3 linked regions of the Rhinolophus ferrumequinum genome follow. The protein of the gene in region 3 interacts with the protein of the main gene of each other region in a biochemical or structural test. Links are inferred from orthologs where the notes say so. Each region holds a gene or a part of one and is shown on either strand. Other genes may lie near its edges.

What was found.
Region 1: the proteins of SORT1 (region 3) and SORCS1 form a complex in vitro, tested with the Homo sapiens proteins (2 studies listed by BioGRID and IntAct, with this or other methods). The link is inferred for Rhinolophus ferrumequinum from reciprocal best matches to the Homo sapiens genes SORT1 and SORCS1.
Region 2: the proteins of SORT1 (region 3) and NGF form a complex in vitro, tested with the Homo sapiens proteins (3 studies listed by BioGRID and IntAct, with this or other methods). The link is inferred for Rhinolophus ferrumequinum from reciprocal best matches to the Homo sapiens genes SORT1 and NGF.

The regions. Positions count from the first base shown.
Region 1 is NC_046299.1:18,856,621-18,864,249, forward strand, and holds the start of SORCS1 (VPS10 domain-containing receptor SorCS1), read left to right. Parts: upstream 1-4,287; 5' UTR 4,288-4,615; coding exon 4,616-5,170; intron 5,171-7,629.
Region 2 is NC_046305.1:45,834,260-45,842,015, reverse strand, and holds the start of NGF (beta-nerve growth factor), read left to right. Parts: upstream 1-4,190; 5' UTR 4,191-4,248; intron 4,249-7,756. UniProt on the Homo sapiens protein: Nerve growth factor is important for the development and maintenance of the sympathetic and sensory nervous systems.
Region 3 is NC_046305.1:41,583,000-41,591,457, reverse strand, and holds the start of SORT1 (sortilin), read left to right. Parts: upstream 1-5,113; 5' UTR 5,114-5,157; coding exon 5,158-5,469; intron 5,470-8,458. Other genes in the region: PSMA5 (proteasome subunit alpha type-5), read left to right, coding at 980-1,057.

The sequences.
Region 1 (7,629 bases), on a different chromosome or scaffold from region 3:
CATCAACCCTGTTGGCAGGCAATGAGAGGAGTTTGCATATTATTCTCCTCAGTTTTCTCTCTGTGGTTCTTCATGAAATTGATCTGAAATGCAAGACACCTTGTCTCAAGGTATCCAAGGGGATCCAAGTATTTGGAGAGCTATTAAAAGACATTGTTCTAATGATGAGACATATAATGTGATTTAGGTTGCCAAGGCCAAGCTATCCATCAGCTATGGAGAGAACAAGGAAAAGGGGGAAAAGGAAATCCAATGTGACAGCTACTGTAGTTCGTGCAATAAGGTTATGTGTGTAGTAAATACATCACTTTCTTTAACATTACCCCCCCACACACACACACCCTCTCCCAAATAAAAGCAAACATAAATTGGAGAATACAAATTTTCCCTTTAGCCTAAACAAACTTGCTTACTTGTTTCCAAAATTGCTTGCTCTACATTTCTGAAAATGATTGTAATTATAGTGCCTGGCACATAGTAAATCATCAATAAACATTATCTGTTATTAGTTGGATTTGGAATAGAAATAGTATTGCATAAAGTCAAGAACACATTAGGAATGAGATGCCTGGATGGAAGCCTTGCCTCTTGCACTAAATTGCCATATGACACTCGGTATTTGTTTAATGTGATCTGTAAAGTGGTACTTTATGATTCAATGATAGTACTCAGCTGAGAAAAATTTTGTAAAAAAGAACACCCAAAAAACGAATGAGTTGCTTCGTGTAAAACCTTAGCTCAGTTCCTGGCATATGTACAGGTCTGATTTACCAAGCGTTTACTACTAGAAGTTATGCAGGTAGGGTTGCTACCCCAGTGTTGCTCAGCCAGCCTATTGATGACTGAACACATCCAATGAGCCAGTGAAGGAGGCATTGGGGAAAGAACAGATGAATAAGGGAGACTCAGTTCTTATCCACATGTAGCTTTTGGGGGAGCATTAGCAAAAGAACATTCCAATAAAATCATTGATGGCTGTAATATATACTAAGAAATAACTAATAAGGGCCTGACACAAAATATCAGAGGGATTTCTTCTTGGGTAGACAGTCAGGGGAAGTCTAAGGAGGTATGTTTTAAGTGAAGGTCTCAAAGAAAAGTGGTCAGCTATGAGAAGTGGGGGTGGTGGTGGGCATTGCAGGAAGGTGGAACAGCAGTACCAAGGTCATGAGTCGGAAAACACTTGGCACATTGGGGGAAGGTATTGCCCAGAGTGGCTGGAGCATATGCATGAGGAGAGAGTGCTGCCAAATGTAACTGGCAACAGTCAAGACTCTGCTCATGCAGGCCTGATTGGCCATGGGAAGGAGTGGGGGTTTTATTCTGTTTGTAATGGTAGGTCAGGGAAGGGTTTTCAATAGTGGCAAGAAACGATTATTTGTCATATTTTTGAAAGACCGCTTTTGCTGCTTTGTAGGGTAAGGCATCTGAACTTTATTGATCATGCACACAAACCAGCATGTAGCTGGAAATGTTCACAAATACATGATTCTCTCTCTGTATCTCTTTCTCTTTACACGCACACACACACAACATATATATGTTGATCAGTAATTAAACATTAACAGGGCCATTATTTTCTTCCTGCACACCATGAATTATCTTGTGGTACCATTTGGGTACTTGTGTTCCACTTTGTAGAGATGAGCTGGAACAGAGCAATTAGGGAGTAGGGAGAGCTGTTAGGAAGCTGTTGTGCTAGTCTAGGTGAGAAACCATGGTAACTGGACTAAGGGGATGGCATATTTTTCATATGCACAATGCATAGACTCCATATTGAAATTACAGATCTATGCTCTCTACTGGCCTTTGATATCAACTATGTTCCTATGACTCATTCTTAATGCATTATATTAATAAAACCTGTTGCGTTGCTTAGTGGGTTGTTGGAATGAAAACACCTTGAAATAGACTAACCCTGTTTTCCCCATGATTAGCTTATTTCTTGAAATCCTCTGGAAAAAGATGATGGTTTAGGGACTTTCTGGTACTTTCTCTTTCTGCTTATTGATAAGACTCAATGGGGATCAGAGACATAAGAAATAAAATAGACATATAAAAAAATACCCAACACAACAATACTTGGAGCCAATTTCATCCATAGCTGTGTAACCTTTTTCTCAAATGAATAATTAAAATCAGGTAGTAGAAAAGTACCTGCCCTCTATGACTTTTCAGCGAATGGCCTGCAAATGCTTTCACTTTAAAGGGGTCATTGTAATAGGTATGTTTTAAAAGATGGGAGTTGTAAACTCTTTGGGGAAGAAAAATCAGTTTTACTTGTACCAGTTCTTCAGGAAGAACTTCATTTTGAAATCAAAACAATGTAAATTTTGCTAGGACAATAATGGATTAAGACCAGAACATTTGAATCCACTGTTTTTATTTATTTATTTATTTATTTTACTTTTTCCAGTCCTATATTTGGATGGGAATTTATTTAAGTTCTGACTCTTGAATCGGGTTTTCTTCTCTTGGAGGAATTCTCATGCACTTATCCAGACTGGAAGGGTTAGCAGGGCATAGAAAGAAGGCATTAGGCAAACGATCCTGCAAAACTCTGAAACCTTTCTGAGGAAAGGAAAATAGCTGTCTTGGGCTTTGACAAAGAGCACTTGCAATTTTGGGAGGAGGAGGGATCTCTGGCTCTCCTCTCCTCCCATCTAGAAGCCACAACCTGCCAGACACTGTTCCTTTTACAGGAGGATTCAGGCTTGGGTGGTAAAGGTGCTGTTGGAAGAGTAGTCTGTGTCTCCTTTTAAGACAAAGAGGACACTCTTTTATCCTTTTAAGTACACACATTTAAATGGCTGAGAAGCCTGCCTCTTTGCCTTGGCACATTTCTTGGATTGGTCATAAAACAATAATTTAAATTGATTTTTTGTAATTCAATTCTGAGTTGGATTGATATAAGAGAAATTTCTCCTGGACAGCATCAAAAAGAGGGTATCATTATTTGAAAAATAATTATCACTCTGTTACTTTCAAGTTGGTCCCATCACAAACTCAGAATTCAGATTTTTCAGTAAAGTTACTTATGCAAGTGTGAAAATGGACAAACATGTAATTAGAAACTGGAAATCGCACTATTTTGCTGTGGGGTTCATTTATTCAATCAGTAAGTAGTCATAGAATAATTTAACAGTTACCATGTGATAAGGAAGTGTTATTAGACACAGGGAGACTACAAAGAATGTGAAGGTATTTCAACTCTTAGAAGCAAACTTTCTATTTGAAAGAGGGTTGGATTTTGAGAAATTCTTTGTAATTTTCAAAGCCCATTCACCTCCTATAAATTTTTATCTGAACTTTTGAAGAGTAGCAGGGAGCTGGGCTGGGCGGACGTAATCATAGCATTACAGAATTTTAGGAATGGAAGGGATTTTAAAGATCATTTAATGCAACTAATTAATTGTAATGTGTAGGAAACTGAGAGATTGCTACTTGTCTGAGGTCCCACAGCAAACTAGTGACGGGGCACCCAGAACAGACTTGACGTTGGCTAATAATCTTAAGGCATTTGTTAGTAGTCCTGGGCTAGGCACACGGATAAACAGAGCACTGTGCCTCCTTTCTGGTATTTATTTGCCTATTCATAATAAATATTTATTGGATTAATGACTGACATATTTCTTACTGTACGGGACACTGTCAAGCACTGAGAATAAAGTGGCAAACAAAATAAACCGGTCACTTCTTTCAAGTTGCTCACGATTTGGTCAGCCTGATCTCACTGAGGTTGCAGTCTCTTAGGAAAACCAAGATACATGCCCACAAGATGCAGGAAGATTGAGTTCAAATACAGTGAGTGCTTTAGGAGGTCGGGAAAGGAATCTAAACTCCATCATTAATGGAAAAATCCCCCCCGCCCCCATCATTTAATTACATCATTCTCTGCTGTTGCCTTTCCGGGATCTCCCCCAAGCCCGGACACAGATTCTGCTCAAGGTAAGGTACCAACTCAAGGAGACTACGAAGGGAAAAATGAGGAGCCCAACCATCCCTATTTTCTAAACTGGAAAAGACCGTTGGACGGGGGAAGGAAGCAACAACAGAAACTGATACCAACCATAAAACAGGAATATTAAGTCCCCAACACAGTGACCACACTGCGAGCTCCGGGCTGGCCGACCCCACGGGAGGCGCGCGGGCTGATAGGGGAGCCGGCAGCGGCGGGGGCGCAGAGCGGGCGGCGGCGAGGAGCGGGCGGCGGCAGCGCCGCGAGCCCAAGGGGAGGGTCCGCGGCGCAGCCAGTCTCCACAGCCACCCGCGCACAGCGCAGCTAGCGAGCGGGACTCGGCACTCGGAGCCCCGGCAGCGCCCGCCCTCCCTTCCGCGTCGCCTGCCAGCGCGCCAGCGCCCGCTCCGCCCGTGACTTCAGTTCAGCTCCACCCCCGCGTGGCGGCGGCTAGCTCTGTCCGAACCCGCGCTCGGCACCAGCCCAGCCTGGGCAAGCGGCCGCCACCTGCCCGGCGCCGCCTCCACCCGCCCCAGAGCGGCCCAACTTGGATGGAGTTGGGGTCCTGAGCGCCTCTCCCCCACAGCCGGCCAGCGGAGAGCCCCGTGCCGCCACCTTCAGTCCGGGACCCCCTTTCCGTTCCTCTCCGCTCCTGCGATGGGAAAAGTTGGCGCCAGAGGTGGCTCCGCAGCCGGGCTGAGCGCGCTCCTCGCCGGCGCGGGGCTCTTGGTCCTCTGCGCCCCGGGCGCCTGCTGCGGCGGCTCCTGCTGCCTCCAGCTTCACCCCAGCTCGGCCCCACGTTGGGATCCGACCACAGGGGGCTTTTCTCATCAGGGGCCACCAGGCAGAGCTCCTGCCACGCCCCTGCCCCTCCGTGGGCGCCCTCTGTTCGCAGTGGCCCCCGGAGACCGAGCGCTGTCCCTGGAGCGGACCCCGGGCCCCGGAGCATCCGTGGCCGTTGCTCCACGCTCGGGCCGGAGGAAACGGAGTGGAGCGGATCAGAAGGCAGAACAAGGAGAGGGCGCGAGTAGGAACCCCCGGAGAGTGCTAAGGGACGAAGGGCAGCAGGAGCTTGGGACTCTGGAGCGGGACCCAGACAAAGCCACTCGCTTCCGGATGGAGGAGCTGAAACTGACCAGCACCACGTTCGCGCTGACAGGCGACTCAGCACACAACCAAGCTATGGTCCACTGGTCTGGCCACAACAGCAGCGTGAGTAGAATGGGACTGGGGGCAAAGGGGTGAAAGCTGGAAAGGGTTAAAGTTGGCTGTGTGATCTGATGGAAAATTTGAGGAAATGGGGTTTTTGGACTGGAAAGATGCTGCAAACTAAAGTCTTACTTGCTCACCTCCCCCAGGTTACCTCCTAGGAGACCACCCCCAGCCCCTCCCCAACAAAACTATCAGAGTCCCCTGCAAACCCCAAGCAAAGGTTTAAACATGGCAGACAAATCCCTATTTCCTCACTTCTTTGGTCGCATTGATGTAGTATGGATCTGAAGACCAGACAAACAGAGATGTTCAAGCATCCTGAATGTGGAGATGAAAGGGTTAAATTTCCAGGCAGACTGACATTCCCTCAACTGACTTTCCCTTTACTTGCTAGACTCATGGATGAGCACAAGTGATATCAATAAGATTTTATTTGAGGATTTTTATTTTATTTTTATTCAGAGCTCCTAGCCCCCTCTTCCCCACAAAGGAAGAGAACTGCAGTGGACGATAAGGTGCCCTTAATGTTGTCTCTGTTTTGGGGGACCAAGTGGATGCAAGTTTCAGGACAGGAACTCTCCAGCATCTTCTAACAGCACCAGCCAGTGTGTTTTGAGAGCTGGGGCTTTCCAGCCTGTGAATGAGTTGTTGTTTTCTGGCATGATCAGTCCCGGGAAGATCAGATATATCCCAGTGACAACAACTCCCTGTTCTCCCCCATTGCCTGACCTCCTCTAGAGAAGAGCACAAATCAAGTCTTAGCCTCCCTTTATGAAGGGAGAAGAGGCGTTGCTGGATTCCAGCAGGCTCCACACTGGGGAGAATGGATGCAAGTCCATGAGCTTTGGCCATGTCAGTAAAGGTTTTAGGTTTTTGGAAAAGCCTGCATGTCTGGAATCTGAGGTAGCTATTCCAGTTTAAACTGCACCTGGAAACTTCAATGAGCGGAAATAGTAAAAAGCCAGCTTTTGATGGTAAGAATTGAAGAGGATTTGGAAGTGCAGAAACTTCTCTAGGCTGCCGTTAAGCTGACAAGAACATAAAACCCAAGGATGGGTAAAATGAAAAAAATAAATCAAAGTTTCAACTTCCATCAGGTTATTGAGATTGTAGTATTTGTAATATGTACAGTCTCTGCAGCCTGGTACCTTTCAAACTGTTTTCAGTTGTGATGTAATTGCCAGAAACCTTCCCAGGGAAGTGCCACTTTAGTGAGACGTGCTCATTGTCAGCGTTTTTAATGACGGTTGTAAACATTTTAAAAAATAGTCTGTCATTATGGATTCCTTGGATACACACACATAAATTGTATTAAGGCAAATCATGATAAATAGTATTTTGTATTGATGTCTCTGTCTGAGAGTATCATCAGCGTTTTCCCTACAATTTAGCCTTCATGACTGAGGCTGTGATTTTATGTGGTTCTCAGGACCAGTTTAATCAAATAATGGAAGCTAAATTATTTCCATTCAAGTTCTGGAGACCGTTGCCCTCATTTCTTACCTTAACTATCATATCTTTCATATAGTAACCACTAAAATTGATCACGCAATTTGAACTTGAATCTTCCTAAACTAATTGAGTAACTTGCACTGCTTTAAGTGATGAGCTCGAAGCTTCTGGCTTTAAGGGGAGATTTTAAACACATCAGACATATTAGATCTTGTATCCAGAAGTAAAGGACTTTGGACTCAAAATATTTCTGGCTTTTAATGTAATTCAAGCTGTAAAATATCACTCACCCATTAGACCTCTACTTTAGTTCGTCTCTTGAAAGATCTTGGAAAGACCTAGAAAAGGAAAGTACATCTTTGGCAAATTTTAAACTCCATTTAAGAAATGGCGCCAAGCACTGCCAGACTTTTTTTTTTTTTTTAATGGTGTTTATAAGCCCAGTAGGGTCAGGACTTGGATGGGAGACATGCAGCGGATTCTGAGATAATATAGAAAATAATCAAGGTGGTGTGTGTTAAAGGTTTGAGCACTCAAATCATATTAACTAAGGAGATTCCCACTTAATAGTCTCTTACTTTGTAAGGACTCCTCCACCACCACCCCCACCCCGTCCATGCCTGCTTACACACAAATTGGTTTCTTTTTTGTGTACATGTACCGATGGTAAAGGGCGCGAAATAGTCTGTGTCCAGGTCCTCGAAAACAAAGCTGGCACACATTCATAGGCAAAACAAAGTTTTAAATATTTTTTAAAGGAAAGGGAAGCAGAAAGAAACTTTTTTTTTTTTTTTTTACATAACTTTATGACGTGAAAGGCAGAGTGCAGACCTGAGTTCTAGTTCTGCGTATTTGTGTTTTGATTTCGGTAGGTTGATTGTACTCTGAGTGTGATTTTCCTCACCTCTAAAATGGGGGCGATGCCCATCAGATTCACTACAGAGAACTGTGTGCCAGGACCCACATAAGAGGGCATTGTGACTGTGAAGTGCGGTGCACCTGTTTGG
Region 2 (7,756 bases), about 4.3 Mb from region 3:
CGGAGGTGAGATGGCAGCACCGTCCTTGCTAGCACCCACGCAGGCCGCGGTCCGAAACAAGAACCCAGGTAGCACTTTGCACATATGAACTCTCCAACTGTTAGTGACTGAAGGAGCAGGTGTGGGGTCAGAGCTGAAGCGAGGGGATCAGTATGGTAGGAGGGATGGCCTGGGAGGCTGAGAGTGGAGAAGAATGTCGCGCCCCAGGACTGAGCCATGGGAGGCACAGGCATTCGAGGGCCGACGGAGAAATCAGAGCGGTAGATGGCAAACCAGGAAGAGCACAGTCACAGAAACTCGAAAGGAAAGTGTTCCATGCAGGAGGTCCTCGGGGAGGAGGCTGAGGACCGGCAAAGTCTGATGAACTGCGCGGAAAGAAGGAGAAGGTACGGTGTTTGACAGCCAGTGCTCCACTGGCGTGGTTCAAATCTCTACCGGCCATTTCATGGGCTATGAGTGACTTACGCTGAGCAAGAGACTTACCTCGTAGGGCTTCAGCTTCCTTATTAATAAGTGGGTGATACCTACTTATAGGGCCCATAAAAATGCCTTGCCCAGGACCCCAAAACAAGGAAAGCAGCCAATAAATGCTACGATTGTTCTGTTGGTGGCAGTGTTGTTATTGCAACTGGTGACCTTTAAGAAGAAAATATCAGGTCAGTGGGGAGAAGGGGTGGGGAGGGGAAGAAGATGGGAACCAGACCGCAGGAAGTTGAGAGGAGCCAAAGAACAGGTGGGTCACTTTGCTGAGGCATTTAGTGGTGCAAGAAGTTGCGAGTCCAGAGACTGGGTGTCAGGAGGGCTAGCAGTTTCCTTAGGAGAGACAGGCAAGTGAATGCAGACAAGCCAAAGGGAGATGGAGAAACTGAAGTTATCAGAGAGAGGGTGAAAGCCAGGAGCAGCTCCCGGGAGGAGGCAGGGATGGCCCCCAAGAGGAGGAGGGGAGCCCAGCCGTTGCCATCCCCAGTGTTCTCTGCACCCTGGTCTGTCTTTGCTCCTTTACCAGTCTCCCCACTAAGGCCAGGGCCCAGAGGTTTTTCCCTCAGCCTCTTTCAGAGAGTGTGAGAGAAAGCAGACTCGCCTAGAAATCAAGAGGCCTGAGTTCTGGCCTGACCCGGCCCATTTATACTCAGCTAAGACCCCGTCCTTCCTGAGCCCTGAGTCCTCCTCCATAACTGAGGTGGCTGGAGTGATGTTCTCGGTGATTCTGTAACCATGCCATCACACTAAGCATTATAAAACATTTCCTCTTCTAAAGGTGTTCTCCACTCTGATGAGAAAGAAGGGGGAAGCAAGTCTTTGAGCTGACGCTATCACTTCCTCCCGCAATTGGGACAATATTTCTGTTTGGCACATATTGCCAGCAGATCCAGCAATGCCATCCGTACTGGCAGATCTCGGCCGAGCCTCCTGGTGTTTTAAATAGCACATGTACTTTGCCTTGCCCTTCTGGGATGAAGCAAGAGAGAGGCAGGAGCTTTGTGCCAGGCTGAGTGTTGCTGTGGACGAGGCACTCAGTGGCTGCAAACTTCTGAATCCTCAGAAATAACAACAATTACTGTGCACACACTACACTCTCCTCCACGGCAGCAAATACATCAGCTGCTGGTTATTTTGATACCCGGGTGAAAAAGCTCTTTCGAGAAAATCTAGTACAAAAAAACATTCTTATCCTCTACTTGTCTGCACCATTCCTTCTGCCCGCTGCCCTCTCAGCTGCTTTCCATTCCTATAAATGTAACTGGTCCAGGCTTTAAAGTCCTTCTCTCAGTGACCCAGGAGAAGGAAGTGGAAGAGGCAAGAGAAGAAACGCTGACTATGGTCTCTGTGTCAAGGCCAGTCTGACCTGGAACCTACTGGAAACCAATTCAGTGTGGATGGGTGTTATCTGACAGCCGCAAATGTCTCTGACTGTTGTAGGATTCAACAAGCATTTACTGAGCACCTACTGTGTGCCAGACTCTGTGCTAGGACCTGGGGAGACTGTGATACACATGGCCGGGCCTAAAAATCCAGTCCCCATCAAAATGTGAATTCTCTGAGAACAGGTAGGTACCTCAGCCATCTCACAGCGCCTGGCAGGCACATAGTAGGCACTCATAATTAATCTTTGGAGTATTTGTTTGTTGCTTACACGTTCTTATTTACTCAAGATCCTTTAAGTTCAGGGACAGAAACAGAGCTAGACAAGGATGGAAAGGAGCTCTTATTAAACCAACATGTGCCATCAGAATATGATGAAGAATTGGGGGGGGTGGCATCTAGCCTTACATTCTGCTTACATCATTTTTACATTTCCCTCTTACACACCACATAAAACAAATAAACAAACAAACAAAACAAAACCACAAGTCCGCCAAATCCTTTTGTCCTTCTGGGTGACGCCACAAGAACACATGCAAAGGTTCTGCATGCAACTACCAAATTTGATTCTAAAATTTTCAACTTTATCCCTAACTTCTCAGGCAGCTATTTTGTAAAGGCTTAGGGCTGGTGCTTTCAAACAAGTTTATACACGACATGATTGATGAATGAATTTGCCCTATTGTATGGAAATTCCTTTGTTTAATTGACAACGATAAATGTCCTAATGGATAGCCCTGACTCTGGCGCTAAGTCTGCAGAAAAGGCCATCTATGGTGGGCCCAGCAGCTAGCACTCTCCTCCAAAGTGTGTTCATCCAACCTGTTTGTACAACTCAGAACAACTCAGAAGTGGACAAGCCCTCCCTGGGAGATGAAGAGGCCACACGAAGGCTAAAGCTGACTTCCAATTCTGGGGATTTCTTCCTACCTCATCCTTCTCACAGCAGACAGCTATGCAAAGCAGCAGGGCAAAGGTGAAAAGACCACCAAGTGGACACCTCAGGCCAATCTGTGTAAAGGGAGCTGGAAATGCCGAAGAAGGGCTTCAGCTCGCCAGTGCCTCCCCTGGGGCGCGGGGGTGGGGCAAAGGGCCACCCTTGGACTTAAAACAGGAACCCCTCCCTGTACCTCATTAAATCAGGGCGCCTGAATTGTGCTGGCATGTCTTCACCAACAAAGGGATTCAGTGCCCTCCCCTCCCGTGCCCCATCCCTTCCTCCCATGTGGCACCAGGGACAGGGTAGGGGCTCAGCAGACGGTTTACTCAGGGAAGAAGTGTAGACTGAGTTTAACACCAGGGAAAGTGGGTGTGAATTTTGAAAGACGTGTGAACCCCCAGAACATTATTATAATTAATGACGCACATTTGCTGAAAAATCTGGCTTCAGGGGTATTTCTGCTACCGTGGGGCTGAGGTGGGAAGGGCAGGCAAGCTTCCCTGTCAGCCTCTGAATCCATGGAACACAAGAAATGCTGGAGGGCCCGGCCAGCCAGGAGGTCACACCTCCCTTAAAGTCTGCAGCATGCGGATAAAGAGGAATTGGGGCAGGTCCTGGGGTGGCCAAGGAGTCTTGCTGTCTGGGTCAGTTTAGAGTCACAGATCCCTTGCAAAGCTGATAAAAGCTGCTGACCCTCTACCCAGAAAAATGCACGCAATGCACACAGATGTACAGATTTACCTACAATTTCAGGGACCCCAGGAAACTTCCAGAACTTAAGTTAAAGCCCTGAGTCCAGGTCCAGACGCCTAACGCCTCTGTCTCTGTCCCCACGCCAGACTTGCCCCTGCCCAGGGGCCTTCTAGATGGTTCTGGCTCTCAGAGCCGCAGCTCTGCCTCCTATCAGAGGAGCGCCAGCACCTGCGTCTTCCAGGGCTCCCCTGGGTGCTCGCTTCTTCAGGGGTGACAGGAAGCATCCCAGGCGAAAAGTTCCCTTGGCCTTTCTCTCTAGGCTGTGAGGGGCAGCCATGCCTAAAGCACGGGAGAGTCGTGCTGGGAGGACGGGGTGGGGACGGGGTGGGGTGGGGGGGGGTAGGGAAAGGGGACACAGATAGCGGTGCCCCAGAAAATCCCTGCCTGTGCTGGGCTCGCACAGTCCCTCCGACCTGTGTGGTTCCCTTTGACTTCTGGGGCTTTGAACCCTTCCCTGACTGGGGAGACTCAGCCCTCCTGGGAGCTGATCGCTAATCCCCAGGACCCCCGACAGCCGGGCACCTCAGTCCAGCACCAGCAGGTGTGGGCCTGGGGCGGGCCGTGCCCGGGGCAGACTGAAGTGAGGAGGAGTCCGGGAGGAGGGGCTAAGAATTCCAGAAGCCAGTGTTGAAGCCGTTCGGAGCTCCTGCACCGCAGAGTGCGCCGGGAGCCGGAGAGGAGCGCAGCGCTGGGTGAGTCCTGCAGCCTGGAGCGGAGCCCCGAGAGGGGCGCAGCGTGGGCAGGGGTGCTGGCGGGCGGGGAGGAGCTCCCGGGAGACAGTGCCTGGCTCCCAGCCTGGTAAGATCTCCGGGCACCCCCGAGGATCCCACGGGCTGAGGTGCAGTGGTGAGAGGAGTGTCCCGAGTGGGCGCAGGAGTGCGGGAGCCTTGGCAGGCGAGCCGGCGAGCAGGGGGAAGCAGCGCGCTCTCTGGTCTTGAAGTTCCCGGTCTCCCCGTGGCCCGAAGTCCCGGAGGCCACCCTGGCGCCTGCAGTAGTCCCGCGCGGTGCCAGACACTACTAGCTCGAGTGCTAGAAAGGGACAGCGCGCAAGTGAGGGAGAGCAGATGAGCGTGGAGAGAGGGATGCGCGGGCCAGAGGGTGGGCTGCACCGCGGAGGGCGAGAGCATCGCGCGCGAGGTCTGGGCTGTGCGCCTAGTCCGGAAAGTGCTACGCTGCCCCCCAGGTAAGGGGACCAGCGAGGCAGGGCACGCTGAATCTGATGCCAGGAATGGAGGCAGGGTCTTTGGGGTCTTCTCCTCATTGCTGGAGGGCTGAGAGTTCGAAATGAAGGCCCCCGGGGCTTAATGGAGGAACCTTGCACACCAAGAGACCTCCACGGATCCGGGTGGACCGAAGTCGCTGGGCTACTTGGGTCACACGCCTCACCGCCAGCTGTCTGCTGCCAGTTGTGGGAGAAGCTGGCGTGGAGGGCTGAGGTGGGCAGCGCCTTAGGTCCTGGAGGCAAAGACCCAGGGCAGAGAGGACTCAGGGGTGAGGGGACGGCACCTTTGAGCCAGCAGAAACCACAGAGGCTTTGCTCTGTTTGATTACAACTCTTCTTACTCTCTCAAAAAGAAAAAGAAAAAAAAAGAAATCCCTGAGATTCTCATGGAAGGTGTTTTCTGCTTGAACTTTCTCTTCTCTTGTGACTTGAGCGATTAAAAAAGAGCCTGCTTGCTAGGCTGGTTTTTCCAAGTTGTTCCAGGTTGGAAGTTGTAACTGTTTGAAGGATAATTTATGGGTGTTTCATGCATTAAAGTGCATTACAGCAAAGCCTTTGGGGTGCTGTGGGTATTAAGGAAAACTTCGTGCACGTTCCCAGCTGGAAACCAAAATAGTGCTCTCCTGGGTGTCTCTGCCCTGTCAATCATCTGAGGCTAGTGGAAATCCTGGAGTAAAGGCATTTGATTAATTATCCTGGCTCCATCCGCTGGGCGTACCCACTGCCAATTCCGGGCCCCTCCTCCCCCACATGCACAGCCAGTTGCATTCTGCAAACTCAGAAATGGTGGTGGAGGGCCTACCAATAACTTTTCTCCAGGGTCTTCAGACTCTTGAAGCTGTCAGTTAAGTCTGCCAGCAGGGAATATTTCTTGCGACGTGTTTACAGCTTCCTACCGAATGTCTGAAACTTTCTCCCTCTGCAGAGCCGCAGAGGAAAGTCTAGAAAGTCTGCATTAGACCTGCATGGGTCTCTTCTGTGGCATAAGTCATATATGTCAGCCTGGGCAACCCAAATGTCAATCCATGATGGGCAGTGTTCCAGAGGTTCAGAGGGCACCCAGGACTGGCGAGTGAGTGGTCTGGGGGCTGAAACCTGCCCTGCTGGCACTGACTCACAGAAGAAATCACTGTTCCTCCTACTTGGGTCATTGGAGGGCCCTGGGGCTAACTTCATGTGCTGCTAAACCTCTCCCCCTATCTCTCTCCAACATTTTTATGTAGGTGAAAAAACCGGCAGCCTTGAAGGGAAAAATGTTAGGAGTCACCACAAATGGGAAACTAAGGTCTCTGAGGCGCGGGGACACGTGTTTTGAAAGAACTGTAGGAGTGTCTCAGAGGATTTTGGAACCGGCTCTGGTGCCAGCCCTTCCCTGAGCCCAGGCCCACTAAGAGCATTTGGAAACTGGGTCCTCTCAGGGCAGTCATCCTACTATTGGTGACTTTCTGTATCCTTAGCCTTTCTCAAGGAGTGAGGGTCTCACCTTCTCCCACTGGCCACCCAGAGTACCAGAGGGAGGAGGTGCTAAAGCTTCACACTCCGCTTCTCTTATGTGGAGAAACCTGTGCCTTGGCCAGGAAGGGGGCCCCAGCTGCCGACATCAGCAGGGAGGGTAGGGCAGGGCAGGGCTGCAGCCCGAGGGAAGTTTCTCATCGTCACTGAGATTAAACGACTGAGAAAATCGCACAACTTCACTTTTAAATCAGTGCTGAGCAGACTTCTGCACATTCAAAGAGTGTCCAGTTGTAGTGGCAGCAGCTTTGGGACCACAGAGAAACTGCAAAGAACACATGGCTGCTGTTCTTCCCTGCTCTGCATGGAGCAGGGGCCAGGCCCGGGCCCCCAGGCACACATCACTGTCACACCAGGGACTAGAGGCCCAGCCATTTGTCTTCTCCCTATAAGGCCTCATAGAGACTTCGGGGTTCAGAGCAGGTGGGTCTTGGAGACCTTTGCTGGCAGCAAATACTTTCTGCTCTCAGGAGGCCGAGGAAGGCTTGCTGAAGATTCACTTAAAGTCTCTCAGCAAACAACTCATATCCCCAGAGGGTTTCTCTTTCTTTGGCCCCTCTGATCTTGCAAACCATCAGCTACACCATCAGCCCTCAGGCTTAGCCGTCCCGAGAAATCAACTCTGTGATGGACCAGTTTCACAGAACAGCATACGGGGCATCAGGCAAATACATGGAGATGGACGACCCTCCCCAACACATGCCCAGCGACCTGCTTCCTGACAGTGGGCACCCTCACTCTAAATAGCAGTAAAACCGGGATGGCCCTAAGGCAGAAATGCAGCTGGAGAAACTGAGGATTGGGGGTGACTGGCCTTTCCGTTGGGTGTACACAGGATTGTCACTGTTTGAGCCAAGGAGGAATAGCCCTTCAGACACAAAGTTTGGCCAAGACCAGATCATGAAAGCTTACAATAAAGAAGACATTCTCAGGCTTTGTGATGTTTTCATGGTTCCTCTGTGGGCTACTTGACATGTTTTTGAGGTGTCCCCAGGGACTGTTGGCCTCAGACTATGACACAGTCAGAATCAGATTGAAACGTTACGATGATCTCTTGACATTTTTCTCCAGTATTTTGGGTAAACTTCCGATGGTAGTTTCCCAAGCTCTGAGACAGGAGGGAAAGTGGCTTTGTGACCTTAAGCAAGTCACTAAACTTCTCGGGTTTAATTTTTCCTAATTTATAGGACAAGTGCATTGAATTAATAATGTTTCTTGATGGGCTACTGGCAGTTGGGGACAATTCTTGGTGAAGTATGACCTATTGACATAATGCAGGATGCTTAGTATCTCCTCCTTGCCTACTAAATGCCAGACGTCATGGTGACAACCAAACCCACCCCCCCCCCAACACCATTTTTGGCTCACTGCTTATTAAAAGGATAATACTGTTTCGCGGTGAGAACGCCCTTGGAAATCACCAGTAAGGCCCCTTCTTCCAGGCCCTCATGGGGGGTCTCTATTTA
Region 3 (8,458 bases):
GGGAGCGCATTCAGTATACGTGGCAAAATATGGTATATTAAATATCAATAATGAAGACTATTCAAAAAGCCCTAGTATGTTTAATTTTAAAGTGAAGGAAAAAAAAGACAATATGAGGCAATGACATTTAAAACAAATTAAACACAAAAGCTTTTTAGGCAAATGTGAAGTGGCACCTGTTCCTCAGTATTGCCCCAAACGTGAGACTGTCGTCAGCAGAGATGATAGAAAACTTGGTAGTTTTACTTAAAGTTGGAACTAACCAGCTTCTGACCCTAGTCTTTTACTGCTTAAATAAAAACATGGACCGCTGGTTATTACTAATAACTTCAGTCACAACTGATTTCCTGTCACTGGTCATGGAATCTTTTTAGTCTTTTTAAAAAACAAAACAGATTTTTGTTAAGTTGCCATATGAACAAATTAGAGAAAATACTACCAAACAAAAATAGTTAACAATTATGCGGTGTTTATTATAATGTTCCAGGCACTGTTCAAAAGCATTTTACGTATATTAACACATTTAATCGTCAGAGCTACTCTTGAGTTGGGTGTTACCATTATCCCCATTTTATTGATGGAAATTAAGACACAGTGGCCATTAACCTGAGGTCACGTACACAAGCTCGACTTGCCAAGTGTGCAAATATGCTTATAATATATTTCTAAAGGAAATAATTTGCTGCTGCTTTTGTGATCCCTGTTGAAGTAACTTCAAAAAGTAACGGTGACGGCAGGCATTTGGTTAACTATGATGTGGTGGGTTAACCTCAAAATAGAAAATTTGGTCAATGAGAATTTTTATTTTGGAGTCAGAGCTATGTTGGGAACCTGCTGCCGGAAAGGATTTCCCTGGGACAGCAGATCCCTTAGTTCTAGTGAAGAGCTGCGTCATCAGCACAGCTTCTCCTGCCCATGCTGGGGCTCGCAGCGGGCTAATCGAGCCCAGCTTATTCACCCTTCTCTGTTTTCCTTCCAGCTAGCCACTGTGCAGCCTGGCCGGAATTTCCACATGTTCACAAAGGAAGAACTTGAAGAGGTTATCAAGGACATTTAAAGAAGTGTGATCCTCAGAGCTTCTGTGGGACAATTTCAGTTCTCCTAATTGCCCTTTACTTTTATTTCCAGCTCCTATTCCTTGGAAAATCTCCATTATATGTGCATTTTTTTATGATGTCTGTACATAAAGACAGTTCTGAAATAAAGAAAAATTTAAAATATTTGTTAATAGACTATTCTAATGCAGTCTTTTATTCACAATGCTTCTGTTAGAGGGCAAAAGGGCTGGAATAGTTGTATTCATATCCCTACCCTCTCAGAGTATCTATTCTAAAATGGTTTTAGCGGCTTGCTACAACAATCAACTATATCATTACATTAGTCCCTGGGTATTGGCAATGAACTTAAGCTAATCCAGCTCCTCCCAGTGGTTTAAGATATTAATACCACTGTAAACCTATTCCAGACCTATAGTCAGTCTTCAGTAAATAGGCATTTTTCTGCTTTCCTTATATGAAAGAGATACTACTAATTAACCATCAAAAGAACATGATTTGAAGTCCTCCCCAAACACTGATGGCTTGGAGTAAGCTAGCTACAGTGCTATATCAGTGTCTTAACAAACAATTTGGAAAGATATATATATACATATAGATATATATATATATATTTATTATTATTATTTTTAATGAAGTTAAGGACAATAAAAGAATTGAATTCATGATCTTACCTCACTGGCAATCAATTACAAATGAGTAACGGAATGGTATAATTCAGAACTAGTTGACATCACACTTTGGAATGTACTATGAATTCCCTCCATTAGAGCTGCCGTCATGCAGTTGGTTGGGAATGGCCGTATAAAGTAGATACTTTTATCATACTTAGCAGATGAAGAATCTAAGGCTGTTTGTCTATGGACACAGAAAATTAAGCTGTTGGGAAGTGAACTCGGATTTTCTGGTTTCAGATCAACTCTTGATTTTACAATGCCATGTCCCTTGAAGCCTAGACACCTACTGAGTAAATACTCATTGAGATTTGAAATGTACTTACACTATCCACAACATGACTAATCCACATTTGGATAATGGAGAGTTGATTGTATATTCATTAACATTTGTAGGAAATTGTATTCGAAATCAAAATGATTTAAGTAGGCTGAATTCATATTACACTCATACTGTATGTCCAGCAGAAAACAACTGCTGGTCACCAATGTTCTAGGGACTAACTTCTAGTGATTTGAACCCTGTTACTAAATACTGTGTTTCCCCGAAAATAAGACCTAGCCGGACATCAGCTCTAATGCGTCTTTTGGAGCAAAAATTTGTATAAGACCCGGTTTTATATAACCGGGTCTTACAATAAGACTGGGTCTTTTTTTTTTTTTTTTTTTTTTTTTTTTTTTAAGACCGGGTCTTACATTAATTTTTGCTCCAAAAGATGCATTAGAGCTGACTGTCCGGCTAGGTCTCATTTTCAGGGAAACGCCGTATAACATGATGATGATGAGATTAGTTTCTCTCATGTTCACCTATTATCAAATCTTAATAGAAAATGCCATTGAAAAAATACTATCTCAATTTCCACTTATTCAAATTTAACAAGCTTATTGAGTACCTACCTACTATATGCCAAGTAACATACTAGACACTGGGGACAGACTTGTGTAAATAGTAGATACGGTCTGTGCTTCTATGAAGCTTCTGAGGGTGAACTAGACAGTATTCCCTTTAACTCAGCGTAGGTTAATGCGGAAATGGACAAAACATGCTGCTTTAGGGAGAGGTGAGAACTGTGTCTCTGAATTACGTATATTGTGTGGGGAAACCAAATACTAAGTAATAGTTCTTGGCGTATGTCTCTTAGCTTCAGCTTGTACTGTTTTCTCTCTCACTGCCTGGGCAGTGTATTCATACCTTACAAAAAAACTGCTGAAACAGTAAATTTCATACCCTCTAATTCTAATTTTAGAATTCTTGAAAAGATAGAATTAGAGCCTTCTTGAAAGAAAACTTTGGTTTACTGTAGAATTTTAAAACTTGCTACAAGATTTGTTCTTGGGCCCAATTGAAACAGAAATCATCTTACTAGGAAAAGAATGGCTCTGTGATGTCTAACTGCTTTTCTGCTACAGAATTTATCTTGGAGAACAGTATGGTTTTTAGTAATAAGATAACTTGACATACTTTAGTTCTGCAAGTCAGGTAACATCTTATGTGCAGTGTTTTCACAAGAGATCTGGCAGCAGTGCAACTTTTGTATTTAGTACCTACCCGTGTCACTAGACTGAAATACTAAAACCGTTTATGTACTCAAACATTGTCTCAGTGCCAAATGCAAGGTATCATGTCCCCAGCAACTGATAACAGTTTGAGGAAGGAAATATGTATTCTGTAAGCATATAATGATAACTAAAAGCAATATATTAAAAAGTGAAGGTAACAGATAATTGCAACTATTTAATACTGTGTTAAAAATATGTAGTAGTTTCTCCAGGAGATGTCACTGTTGAGTTGGGTTTTTTCTTTTCAGACAGTAAGACAATAGACCATTCATCTTTGTGTCACCGAACAAAGAAATATTCCTGCATCGTCCCTCTTCTCTTACCCCCCCCCCCATCACATGCTACTGGAACTGACTGTCTTGTGATCTACTCCATAGTTGGATAAACTAAAAAATAATCTGTATTTTAAAAAATAATCTGACAATGGTGGTTAATAGAAAGGAACAAATTGTTTACTAGTTTTCATGGAGTTTATCTTGTCATTTCAGTAGCTGAGAACTTGGAAGACTATTCTCATGATTTTTCCCATCCTGCTATTCAAAAGTATTTTTCACTTCTGTTTTACTATGGTTGTCCTGGAAAAAATGCAAATTTATAAAAATCTTTTTGTTTGCAAATTAATGTGACTAGAAGAATTTGACTATTGAGTGAGGTGCAGTGCACCATTTTGCTCTACAATTACATATTTTTATTTGTGCTTACCCGCAGTTTATAGTTAAAAGTAATTTTTAGTTTGCTTTATTTGGGAGTAACGTTTTGCACACTTTGTATCTTTCTATTTGCTACATTTTCTAACAACTAACATTCTGAAGGGATGGGATTAGTTAAGATCCAGAACTGGTTTTACCTGCACTGCATGTTCTAGAAGTTATGTGTGCAGTTTCTGAGTTAAAGGGAAAAGCCTAGAGGTTTTGTTTTATTTATTGGATGTGGGATACTAATTTAGGGGACATCATATACTGAAAACCACACTTGTGCAAATGCAAGGTTCAGGCACTTTCGTAGAGATAAATATGTATCTATGAAAAGATCATATCTGAAGCAGTCATTGGGCAATCGTCTTGCCCGCTTTGACCTGCCCTTAACGTCCAAGCTACTTTCTACCTCCAGGAAAACCAATAAGCAACCCCATCTTTGGCCTAACTCCCTACAGAGGAAGGTGAATGAGGCCATAGGTGGTGGAGAGACTTTTCTTACAGCTTGCATGAGTCACGGATATCCTGATGTCTGTTTTCTCCGTAGGATTTAGCCCACACAATTCGCATTCACCTTTCTGGCAGCAAGGCGGCTGCTTCAGTAGACAATGGGCGCTCCAGTGCGCGGAGCTTAAAACCTGAAGCACCGGTTCATGACGAAGCCCCCCTTTTCCAGCTGGGCGAGCTCAGGGATTCCCTGAGATTATCCCGGCGCTGCCGCAACCCAAAGAATTTGGGGGGGGGGGTTAGGCGGTCTCTGGGGGAAAGACTAAACCAGCCCCGACTTGAGGGTGCCCCTGGGAGCCGCGAGGGTTCTGGGCGCCATGGAGCGGGGAGCTTCGCGGGAAGAGGGAAAAGCTCCTACCAACTCTGCAAGCTCGGCCCTGGAGACGCGGGCGAGGCGGGGGATGACCTCAGCCGTCTCTGCCACGTTCCAGCCAATCAGTCCCGCATCTTGGCATCCGAATCCAGGACCCCCGAAGCCGGAGGCGACGCGAGCCAATGAGGAGCGGGCCGGGGAAGAAGGACAGGCCGCCGGCCTATGGGGGTGGAGAGGCCCGGCTGCGCGTATCCAAGGAGCGCCGGACTGGGCTCGGGGGTGTGGCGCGGCGCCGGCGGGGGTGGGCGGGCGCGCCGGGCGGCAGGTGTCGGCGGCGTAGGCATTCGGCGGCGATGGAGCGGCCCGGGGCAGCTGCGGACGGCCTGTCGCGCCGGCCCCACGGCCTCGGTCTCCTCCTCCTCCTCCCGCTGCTACCACTGGCGACACTCGGCCAGGACCGGCTGGACGCGCCGCCGCCGCCCGCTGCGCCGCTGTCGCACTGGCCCGGCCCCGTCGGGGTGAGCTGGGGGCTGCGCGCGGCCGCGCCCGGGGGCCTGTTTCCCCGCGGCGGCCGTTGGCGCCGCAGCGCGCCCGAAGAGGACGAGGAAGAGGGCTGCGACCGGGTCCCGGACTTCGTCGCCAGGCTGGGCAACAACACGCACCAGGTGAGCGGGCGCCGGGCCCTGGCGCCGCCCGGACTGCGAGGGGCCGCCCCCGGCGCCCCCGCGGCCGCCCGCCCCGCCCGCGCGCCTCCTGTCCCCGCCGAGGGGACCCCGGCAGTTCGCCGCCCGCCGCGCCCCCCAGGGCCGCGGCCCCGAAACTGCGGCGGGCGGAGTCCGGCCCGGGGAGCGGCCCTTTGGTCACAGGGGAGGCCGGTTTAGCCTTTCACGGCGTTCCTTTTTTCAAGTTGTCAAAATCTCTTGAGCGTCGTTGTTTTCCGTCTGTATAAATAATCGCGACCCAGTAACGCTGTACCTCACCGGGAAGGTGAGGAATAGTCATCGCTGAATTGTTTGCACAGGTTGGGCTGCGCAAAAGCAAAGGTGTGTTCTCTGGGTCAGTGCTTTCAGGGTGGGAGGGGGCTGTTAATTCCCAACGCAGTTGTTCGGTTACTGTGTGTTCGCACAGGTAAAGGAACAAGCGTGGAAGTGGGATGGCAGTATATATGTTATCTCTCTTTAAAACGCCTTCAGTTTGACCTTCTATGGTGTCATCGGACTTTGACCAGGAAGTCTGTGTCCTGTAACAAGGTTTCCAACTGTTAAGAAACACACTGCAGACACTCTGCTTTGAGCGAGGTCCTAGTCGGAAACTTTTAAAATTGCTGCAGTTCCATCCCTGGAGACAAGCAGCTCAACCTTTGGGCACCACTGGATTGACAAAGCCAGCAGACAGGAGTGTGTCCTGGCTCCTGGATCCAGTGCAGCTGGAGCATCTTCCTCGTCTTTTTTCTAGAACTAACGATTTAATTATCGCTACCCACATTTGCATAACTAATTTTCAATGTAATATATTTTCTCTGTTATATCCCTTTCTCTTGCGAAGAGTTGCACCTGGGGACAGAGATGAGTGGCTAACTGCACTTGTCCTTCAATAGCCACATTCGCATCAGGGAATCTCAGTCTCCCCTTGAACTATCTTTCTCCCTCTGCTGGGACTGACTATACCTGTTACCTGTGCAGAATTCTCACATGTGGGAGCCAGGTCAATTGCAATCAAGGCACAAGCAGGGATAACCCCACTTAATGCAGTCCAAGCAGCCGCTGCTTCAAGGTGGCTGAGGTAGTGCTGGCGGGTGGGACAGGTTGGGTGCAGGTAGGGTGGTAGGAGTACTGGCAAGTCTTCCTGTTTGACGAAGGGAGAAATAAATCTTGTAGACTTCCACCTCACAGTGGGGAGTTGAGAAAGGCTTTGCGATACTGATGCTTAATTTATAACAGGACTACTTCCTTCCTTGAGCCAGCTGGACACAGCATTCTTACCCCATATTTCAGATTCCTCTCTTCCTGGTTGACATTCCCTTAGGATCTGATGCTGCTTCTGGATTCATTCCTGTGATTGAGTCTTCCCTGGTTAGTTTGCGTTCCCTGGTTAGTTTGCGTTGATATGTCGTTTGCAATATACTGATTTCTATAGCAAGGTGGTTGATAAAACTGGCTCAAGGGGTTCTTAGGCCAAATCTACTCAAGAGCATATCTGAAACCTTATTCTTTGAAGTCCATTTGTAAAGAAACTTGCCCCGTTTTGTTTCATCTTATTTAGGTATTGTTCCCAATGATTTTTTTAGCTTATTATTTTTTCAGTGTTCTTCCAGTGACATAATTTTAAGTCACTACTTTTGCATTTGTTAATCAATCACGGTCTCATCTTCAGAGATCCCATCCTTTTTGGAACATGCAGATGTGGTTAAAGAGCAGCTGTTGTTAACTATCTTCATCTTAGAAGTGGTCGAGTAAAGTGGTGGTTCGAGTGGACCGCCACCTTAACCCAGAGTTGTCACGTAGTCGTCTGTTCTGCTTTTCAGTTATGTGTTTTTAAAAGTCATAATAAATCATTCTGAACTATACTGAAGATATCTAATATTTTAGGACCCTTTGTAAACAGTGTGAAATGAAATACCAGCATGACAGAACCACTTTCTATTGGCAATATTGTATACGTTTGTACAGCTGGGAACGTGCCATTTAGAGGAGTTTTTTGTAAGGATTTACTTCGCAGGAAAAATCCAAAGTTCTTGGTTCTCTTCTTACTTGTTATAACTTGCTGTCCATGTCAAGTCACATTGATTCATCATGTATGTGAATACCCACCCTCCAGATGCTGGGATGCCAGGACACAAAGAAAAGGTAACTCAGACTGGAGAATGAAAAGCCTCAGAAGGTTTTAGCCAATCTCCTAGACCTGTTTCTATGGCTTCTGTGGCTTGTGAAAACTTATTGGCATTTAACTAACCTTAAGAAAGCAGAAGTAGAACTAAAAGCATGATAGTGCTTTTATGTTCCTCTGGTGTAAGGAGACCTGTGCCCTAATGACTTATAATTCAGGATCCTTCACTCATGAAATCCAACAGTGTACATATATACTTATAAATGCTCTTTTCTTACACTCAATAAATAACCTTCCTTTTGCCTTTTACCCCAAACTGTTTCATGCCACACTTTTAACTGATTCTTTCCTTTCAGTGTTTTCCTTCATGCCATGTATAACCTTTGTACATGAGAGGAATTGAGCAAGCCTAGAAGATTTTATTAATGTTGGTTGCTAAGTTGGATTGCTTCAAAACATTCCTCCTATAAGCACCCCTTTGAGGTTAGGCATGAAACTCTGTCTTAAAGAAACAGATGAAATGCTTTGGCCAGAGTTACGGCGGTGGCTGACATAATTTCCTTACTTCTCATTCCTGTGTTCAGACCATTTGACGATTTCCTTAAAACTTTTAAAATTTATGATTAATGAAGCTCATTCTCTGTCCTCCCTTTGCTCCTGTCACTACCTCTTTACACATTACTTACCAACTTCCACCCCGACATCAAAGCATCTGGTTTCTTAGATAAACAGGCCCCATAGAGAGGCCATGTGGAATGGGGTGTCAGCTTTGAGAAGAATGTGTGTGTTTGTTTGCTGGTGCTGGCAGGGCTGCGTCCATGCTGACAG